2 linked regions of the Macaca fascicularis genome follow. The protein of the gene in region 2 interacts with the protein of the main gene of each other region in a pairwise test. Links are inferred from orthologs where the notes say so. Each region holds a gene or a part of one and is shown on either strand. Other genes may lie near its edges.

Region 1 (4,275 bases), on a different chromosome or scaffold from region 2:
GTTAGAGGGACCAGGGACAGGCGATCACACGGTATTGGACACAGGGCAAGGGAGCAGCCAGAATTTGTAAGGGAGCAGTCTGGGGCTTGGGGAAATAGCAAGAGAGATCAGGGACAGCCCTTAGAGTTTGGGAGCAGCCACAGGGACACAGAATAGCCAGAGGGAGCAAGGAACAAGCCCACGATTTAGGGAAGGGCCGCGGAAGGATCTCCCGTTGGAGGTCAGGGTCCAGGTACTCACTGTGCATTCCTCACAGCCAACAGTGTAGGTCTTGGTGAAGCCCCGGCGCTGAGCTAAGCTCAGACTGTTCCAGGGAGCCACGAAACTGCAGGTGGTGATGTGCAAGAGTCCGTCCTGCAGTTTTCCTAAGGAGAAAGCGGGGGTAACCGACAAGCAGCTTTTGATTGGCTGAGCCGCCAGGCTAGCAAAGGCCCGGCCTTCTGATAGGCTGAAATTGGGATGGTACCCATTTCCAGTGGATCCATTCCCATCAGAGCCTCGCCCCCTCGCTGTTGCTAGGCCGCGCCCCAGGGACTGGTTGGCGTGGCACAGGGCGCGGGGACGGTGCCTCACCAGCAATGAGAAACTCCTCGCTGCGGTTGTGGGACCTGTGGAAGTATCCGCAGACACTCTCCATGGCGGGGGTGTAGACGAACCGGATGTCAGCGGCATCCCCTAAGGCCTGGAACCCTTTATACATCTGTTGATGGATGAGGGGAAGTGTCTCTTTTACTGACATAATCCTCCCACTCCAGGTTCTTCCCTGAAGTCACATAGCATCCCAAGATCACAGCCAACTTTCTTGCACCAACCAGTGGCCAGAAGTTTCTGTTTTGACCAGGAGGAAGATGTTAGAAAATGCTGGGAAAGGGGCGGGAGCAGGGGATACCTTGGTCATCTTGATCTCATAACGCTGGTATAAGGTGGTCTGGTTGACTTCTGGTGTCCCCACGAACTTGGCCCTGATGACTGCAGGAGAGGAGGGAAATATGAGTCAAATGGACTGCATGAGCCAATAAAAATAAGATCATCATCATCATAATACCAGCAACGTGCATACATAAATAGGGGTTATTGGATGCCAGACAGCACACTAAGTGATTTACACATTTGTTTATTGATTCATCTGTATGTTGAGTGTCTCTCTTCGCCAGGCACTGCTTAAGCCATTTTCATCTATTCATTTGTTCATTTACTCCTCAAATATTTGGGAGTGCCCAGACATTCCCACTGGCCCATGCTATATTCAGTGTTGAGCCCAATCTCTCTCCCAGACAGCAAGATCCCATTGCAGTGGTTCCTGTACCCATCACCATTGTCCTGAATATGGTCTTCCTTACTGTGCTATAACAACTATCACCGAATATTTTTCTCTTTAACAGGAAATCAGGAGTACTAAGGGGCAGGGGTTAAAATTTTAAACAAGATGGCCAGGGAAGGCCATCCTGAGAAGGTGACATTTGAGGCAGCCACCCATGTGGATACCTGGGGGGAAAGTGTACCAGGCAGAGGGAGCAGCCAGCACACAGGTCCTGTGGTGGGCTTGGGCACGGAGTACTCAAGAAAGTGTGAGGATGCCAATGTGGCTAAAGCAGAGGAAGAGCAGGGGCGAGTGGAATCATTCTAGAGGTAAGTGCCATCGTGAGCCCCACCGGACTGAGAGGGAAACCAAGGCAGAGTGTGTGGGCTGAGTGGGGTGAGGACTCACCGAGGTCGGAATTGCAGAAGGCCGTCTGTGGGTGGGGTAGGACACAGGTGCAGGCCCTGCTGGGGGCTATCAGCCACAGCAACAACAGGATGCCGGAAGCCAGGGGCTCAAAGGGGGCCATGGTGGGTTCTGTGGGGAAGAGGGATGTCAGGCAGGCCCCAGCCCAGCTGATCTGCTGACCTGGGCAGGTCATCCACCCCATCCTGCCCCGGGGCAGCCTATGGGGGGATTAGGGGACTGGATTTGGGCTTCAGGGGTTGGGAAGCTTGGGGATTTTAAGGGGATTGGGGAGCCCAGAGGAATTTAGGGTTTAGAGAGTTGGGAAAGTTTAAATTATTGAGGGACTGAGTTGCGGGGTTATGGAGCTGTGGCACTTGGGGGAGAAGGGAGCTAAGGAAGTTTGAGGAATGAGGGGATTGGGGAATTCTGGAGGTTGAGGAGTTTGGGGGTGAGGAATTTGGGATTGGGGGCTGGAGGGGTTTGGAGGAGGCAGAGTTTAGGGGTTGTGTGTATTAAGAGATATAGGGGGCTGGGGGAATTTAGGGAGGTTGAGGAATTTGGAGGAGGTTGGGGATTTGGGGAGCTGGGGGAGTTTGGAGGTTGAAGGGGTTGGGGGAATTTGGGGGCTTAAGGCAATGGTGATACTTGAGGAATCTGAGGGCAAAAGAAGTTTGGGAGCTGGGGAGCTGGGAAACTGGGGATTGGGGAGATGGGGGAGTTCAGGGAGCTGCAGGGGTTAGCAGTGGGGATTTAGGAGGCGATGAGGGAAAGTGCTGGATGAAGGGATTTGCGGGGGATTTGGAAAGCATTTGTGATACTAGGGGGTCATGGGTTTGGGAGAGTTGGGGATGGATGTCAGGGGTTCTAGGGAGTTTGGAGCCTCAGGGTTGGGAAAGCGGTTCCAGCCTCCGACCCTCTTCCCCCTAGACTAGCCCAGGATCCTGGTACCCGCAGGCCAAGCTGAGTAGACAGGCATCTAGCACGGGAGTGCACGGGCCTGGTGGCCAGCACCCAAGCTGCGGCCCAGCCCCGGTTCCTGCTGGGCCATCCCGGGCCCTGCTTACCTCTCGTGTCTCTCTGGGCACTGGATCTGCGGCGATGGCGGCAGGGCCTGAGCGCTAGAGGATAAATGTCCACGCTAGGGGCGGGGGTGGCAGCGGGTGCGGAAACCACAGGCCTCCAGGCTTCCTGGATGCATTACTCATCCACCCACCATCAGTGCAGAAGCCAAGGGGCGGGCCGACGAAAGGAGATACACCCTCCTCCTCTCCCACCCCCCTCCTCTCCCTCTCCCTGGGCCTCGCCCGGGCCAGCCCCCTCCCCCACCTCCACGTCAGTCACTATTCCTTCCAAGACGCCTCAGCGGAGAGCTTAGAGGCCGCATTCCCCCCAGCCCAGTCCCCTAAAGTCTCCAGAATCTATCCAATCACCCACATCCCCCAAGCTCCCTATGGCTCAAACCCAAATGAGTTCAGCCCTTCAACATTTATTGTGCATCTACTGTGTGCCAAGCACACAAAAATCCCTTGTTTTGTATGTCTGACATGCTGGTGAGGGGTGGCAGAGAGGAAACAAATTAAATAGCAGCAGTGGAGGGAGATAAGGCAGGTGAATGGGGAGGAACACAAAATGGGGAAACTGAGGCATGGAGTGGTTAAGTGACTTATCCAGGATCATAGAGTCAGTACATGGCAGAACTGAGACTGGAACTCAGGTGGCCAGGAACCAAAGCCAGGGTCTCAAAAAACACAGGCAAATAGCCGGCATTTATATAGCACCGACTGTATACCAGGCACTCAGCATAGTTTATCTCACTCAGAGCTCACAACAAATCTCTGAGATGGGTACCAGTTATTATTCCCATTTTACAGATGAGGAAATATGGGGTATAGAGGAACTGAAGAATTTTCCCAAGATCACAGGACATGGCCAGGATTCGAACTGAGGCTACCTGGCACCAGGATCGTAACTCAGGAGTGGCACCATCCTAGCAAGCAGGGAATGGTGCGGGTGAATGAATGAGCATTGGGAAGGGGGTGGCCATGAATGAAGGTGAAAGAAACAAGTGAGTGGGTCAGTAGAAAACTAGTCCCCACCCCATCCTGCCCTGCCCCTTCCCCACGGACCTATACCCCTGGTGGAGGGTGGGGTGGGGCAATCCTTGCCCACCAGCTTTTTGACAGTGCAGGAATCTTCCCTGGGGTTCTGATTAACACCCTTAATTCGAGGAGGATAGATCAATAATAATAATTGTAGTGATGATGGCAGCCGCTTATTGAGCACTTTCTGTATACTACGTGCTAAAGTATTTGTATAAATTATCTCATTCACTCGCCATACTCCCTTGCTAATTAAGTTTGATTAACTCAGGGATATTAGCCTAATAACAAGAACACAACAAAAACTACCAGCAGCCCTTACGGAGTGCTTACTGCCTATCCAGCACTGTTCTGGGTGGGAGGAAGGTGAGGAATAAGAAATTGCCTAATGGGTACAATGTACACTATTTGGTTGATGGGGACACTAAAAGCCCAGACTTCACCACTATGTAATATATACATGTCACG
Region 2 (4,133 bases):
GTTCTTCGACATGGAAGGGATTTTCTCCCAATCTGTGTAGTTAGCAGCCCCACAGCACTTAAACTGGGGTAGGGAAGAAATATGGAGAAGGGAGTTAAGTGAACCTTCACCATCAATATGGAGATGAGATGAGAATTCTTTTTTTTTTTTTTTTTTTTTGAGACAGACTTGCTCTGTTGCCCAGACTGGAGTGTGGTGGCTTGATCTCGGCTCACTGCAACCTCTGCCTTCTGGGTTCAAGCGATTCTCCTGCCTCACCCTCCTGAGTAGCTGGGATTACAGGCACTCACCACCACACCTGGCTAATTTTTGTATTTTTAGTAGAGAAAGGGTTTTGCCATGTTGGCCAGGCTAGTCTCAAACTTCTGACCTCAGGTGATCTGCCCACCTCGGCCTCCAAAAGTGCTGAGATTACAGGTGTGAGCCACCACACCCAGCCTTGGAGATGAGAATTCTCTATTCCCATCACCCCTGCTCCCAGCAACCCCACTCACATCTGCCTGCATCCTGTCCAGGATCGAAGCAGTGTGGTTGTTTTTCGGGTAATTCTCCATCTGCTGCCGGAAGTTGTTATTAAACTCTGACATCACCTGAGGGTACGGAGGAGCACTGTTGCCGTCAGAATTCAAGCACCTGGGTCCCAGACCAGGCTGAGGCAGGCCCTTCCCATTATTCCCTGCTTACCTTATCTCTAAACACATAGCCAGCAATGGCTGCGGCCACCTCCACCAACATGATGAGAGACAGAAAGATGGCAAACTGCAGGAGCAAAGGACAGGAGTCAGGTTTGGAGTCTATGCATTACAGGGGCCCGTTCTGGCATAGCCGGTCCCTGGACACTCACAAAGGTCTTCCTCACTCACCCACCTCACCTCACCCACCTTCCTGAGCACCAACCAAGTTGCTCTGGCAGTCCCAGACCACCCATGTTAGTCCCGCCTCCCACTCACCGTGATCATAAGACAATAGTTCTCCTTGCAGGCCCCGCAGCAGCCCACAAAGGCCACGAGGAAGAGGAAGACACCCACTGCGATGATGACCACAGGCAACAGAGAGCCAGGGGTAGCCCCCTGGATTATGGTCTGACTCAGGACAAGCTGTGCCCCGACACCCACAGCAATCAGTCCCACTGCACAGGCCTAAGAGGAAAGCAGGTGAGAATTAGGCCTGATCCACAACACAGTGGTCCTCCATGGTGGAGGGCAAGGGGTACACCTAGGACACAGACATGACCCCATCCGGAGGAGAGATTCTCACACCTCCAGGGAACTTCTTTGGCTGTAGGTAAGGGGGATGACCCATCCTTTCCTGCCCCCATCTCCCTTGATCCCCTCCCAGCTCTTCAATCAGGGACGTGACCAAATTCAAAGACCTCCCAGAAAGCCTTGACCCCAAGGCACGTATTTCTGACCTAGAATAATGCTTTCTACGGGCCTCCAGTACTCCCAGCTCAATTCTCTCCCAGAACTGCTCCCTCACTATCCTCCAGTGCACACCCCACGCGCATCAGCTGTGACTAAGGTTCCTCTGGCCAGTTAAGCCAGGAGAAGGGAAGAGGAAAAGGCGGCAAGAGTGATGTGCCCCTCCCTAGACAAACAGTAGCCTCTCAAGCCAGGAGCCCAGGACAGGAGCAAATTGAGGTGGGCAGAGCCCTTCCTCGCTCCCAAGCGCTGGGAGGACAGAAAGGGGGAGAGGGACTGGAGAGGGATGAGGGGGTTGGGGAGGAAGAGAGGGGAGAAGGGAGAGCGAAGGGAAGCCTCGTGGCGATAGCATCAGGCGGTTGGCTGGTTGCCCCACTGCCCCATATCACAAGTGGTTGGGTCACCAGACAGGAAGGGCCAGGAAGGAGGGATGGGGGTAGGGGTTGCTGCACACCCAGGATGGCCATTCTCGGTGGAAACAAGCCTCAGGTGTCCAGGAAAACTGGAGGAGGGAGTGGCCGCGCTGTCTTTCCCTGGCTTTCTTTCCACATCTGGTCTCCAGCTGCCTTAATTCTTATTCCCTCAGCCCTCACCACTGTGGAGCCAGGTCTCCCCGCACCCTGCCGGCGCGCCCCCCAGGACCCCTCGCCACTCACGCAAAAGGCCAGCAGGAGGACGTAGAGCAAGAACTTCACACATTTCATTCCTCCTTCCACCGCCATGGCTGCCGGGCCTGGGGCAGAGAGGAGGGCGGGGGGATTAAAACTGGCCGAAGGGGGACCTCGGTTTCCGGGCTCCTGGCCGGCCCTCGAGGGCTTCCCTACACGGCCCCGATTCCCGGCCCCTCCCACCCGGAAACCCGCGGTCGGAACCACGTCTCCCAGCCCCCTCTCTACCCGCAGGAGAGGGGTGGGGGCGACCGCCGCGAAGCCCGGACCCCGCCCCGCCGCCTCTGGGGCCCAGGATAGATCCGAGGGCGCCGGTAGGGGCTCGAGCCTGACGCCGACCCTCGGCCCTTCAGTCTCCAGGCGTCAAACACCCTCTCCCCACCCAACACCCAGCCCGGAGAAACGGTCTTCAGCCCAACCCCGACCCCTGCCCCAGTCGCTTTCCCCTGGGCTCTGACCTCCCGCCCACCAAAAAAAAAAAAAGGTGCGGCCGGCACCCCCGCCACACCCTGCCCGGGCCCAGGGAAGTTCGAATCAAAGTTGCTCGAGGGCGGCTGGAGAGCGCCGGGCGAGTCTCCGCGGGCCTGGGGCGAGCCCTGGAGGAAGGGACCGCCGGTGGTCTCTCCCAGCCCGCGCCGAAGTCTGCCGGGGCCCCGCGGCCTCACCTGGGCTCCCCAAGGCTGCGCGCTCCTCTCCCGCCGCGGCTCCGGGGCTCTCTAGCTGCGCCCCCCGGCTCCCGCCCCGCCTGCCGCGCGGCCCCGCCCCGGGCTCCAGCCACGGTCCCCTCCCCCGCCCAGTGGCCGCCGGCCTCCCTCATGTGACGCGGGAACAGCTGCGGCCTGAGTCACTGGGCCCGGCGCGGGGTGGGCCGAGCCCCCCGCCCGGCCAGGGCCACGTGGCCCCTACCCGGAAGAAGGCGCCCACCCCCCGCAAACGGAGAGCCGAAAAGGCAAGACCTCGGGGCGCCTGGGGCCCCCCTCTGGCGCCCCGCCTCCGTGCCAACTCGGGGTAGGAGAGCAGGGCGGAGCGCAGCCTGGGTCACTCTGGTTTAGAGAAGCGGACGAGCTAGGTGAGAGTTATCCTCTGAGCGCCGGGGCGGAGAGCTGAGGCCGGGTGACAAGGTGGTCTGAGAGAGGTTTCCCCATCCTTCTCCAGTAGCCCAGCTCTCTCCTCTGGCTCCAACTCTGTGCAAGCCCCCTCCCCATCCGACTGTGCAGACAGCTGGGGACTGCCTGGGGTCGGGTGGGGCCAGAACCAACAGTTCCAGAAAGTCCCTGGCCTCACATCCTGGGTGTCTCCCAACATTCTAGCGCATTCTAGAGTGGGGATTTCTGACCCCCCTATATTAGCATAGCTTCTCCATTTTCCAGGGTTCCTAGTCTGAGAAAAGGGGAGGAAGCCCTTCCCCGAAGCCACGCTACCCAGTCAATCAATACACGTCCGCGTCGGGTCCCGCCCTCTGGGGGAGGATTGACAAGGTCTGCCCTCCCAACTCCCGGACAGCTCCTGCATCGTCTGTGATAGCGAGGGTTTGGGGGAAGACACGAAGGTAGAGGCTTACATCCTCTGGATTTCCTCGTCTTATCCCAGAAGACAAAGCCAGGTGAGGGCTGGAAGCGGGCTAGGGGGTCAAGCTGCCTCCCTCCCTTGTGTGCCAGGGGTAGTCTCCAGAAGGAGCTGATCTGAACAGGCCAGAAAGTGGGACCGGTCGTCACACCCCCACACCTCCAGCCTCGGACCCACTCCTTGGGCTCTTAGGGTCCTGCCTCAAGAACCACTTCCTGAGTCTTGGTGTATGTGTGTACACAAAGAAGGAAAGAAGTCTCTAGAGCAAAAGGAAGGAGATCCGGGCTGGGCTGAGAAGCATCTTCCAGGATCACGGCCTTCCTGTGGGACACACCAAGCCCATTCCGGACCTTGCTCTTCCTGACCATGGCGGGCAGGAGTGGAGGAGGAGTGGAGAGCTGAAGAAAGGAGTATTCGTCAGGTTCCTTATTGTGCTGCCACTAGATGCCAGGTATATGCTAGGCTCGGGGGCTGCAAG

What was found.
Region 1: the proteins of CD63 (region 2) and TIMP1 interact in binary tests that used the Homo sapiens proteins (3 or more experiments, as listed by UniProt). The link is inferred for Macaca fascicularis from reciprocal best matches to the Homo sapiens genes CD63 and TIMP1.

Annotation. Positions count from the first base shown.
Region 1 is NC_088395.1:47,678,795-47,683,069, reverse strand, and holds the start of TIMP1 (metalloproteinase inhibitor 1), read right to left. Parts: upstream 2,812-4,275; 5' UTR 2,773-2,811; intron 1,838-2,772; 5' UTR 1,830-1,837; coding exon 1,709-1,829; intron 970-1,708; coding exon 890-969; intron 701-889; coding exon 574-700; intron 366-573; coding exon 241-365; intron 1-240. UniProt on the Homo sapiens protein: Metalloproteinase inhibitor that functions by forming one to one complexes with target metalloproteinases, such as collagenases, and irreversibly inactivates them by binding to their catalytic zinc cofactor.
Region 2 is NC_088385.1:62,512,101-62,516,233, forward strand, and holds the start of CD63 (CD63 antigen), read right to left. Parts: upstream 2,808-4,133; 5' UTR 2,755-2,807; intron 2,155-2,754; 5' UTR 2,144-2,154; coding exon 2,078-2,143; intron 1,140-2,077; coding exon 951-1,139; intron 760-950; coding exon 685-759; intron 591-684; coding exon 495-590; intron 64-494; coding exon 1-63. UniProt on the Homo sapiens protein: Functions as a cell surface receptor for TIMP1 and plays a role in the activation of cellular signaling cascades. Plays a role in the activation of ITGB1 and integrin signaling, leading to the activation of AKT, FAK/PTK2 and MAP kinases.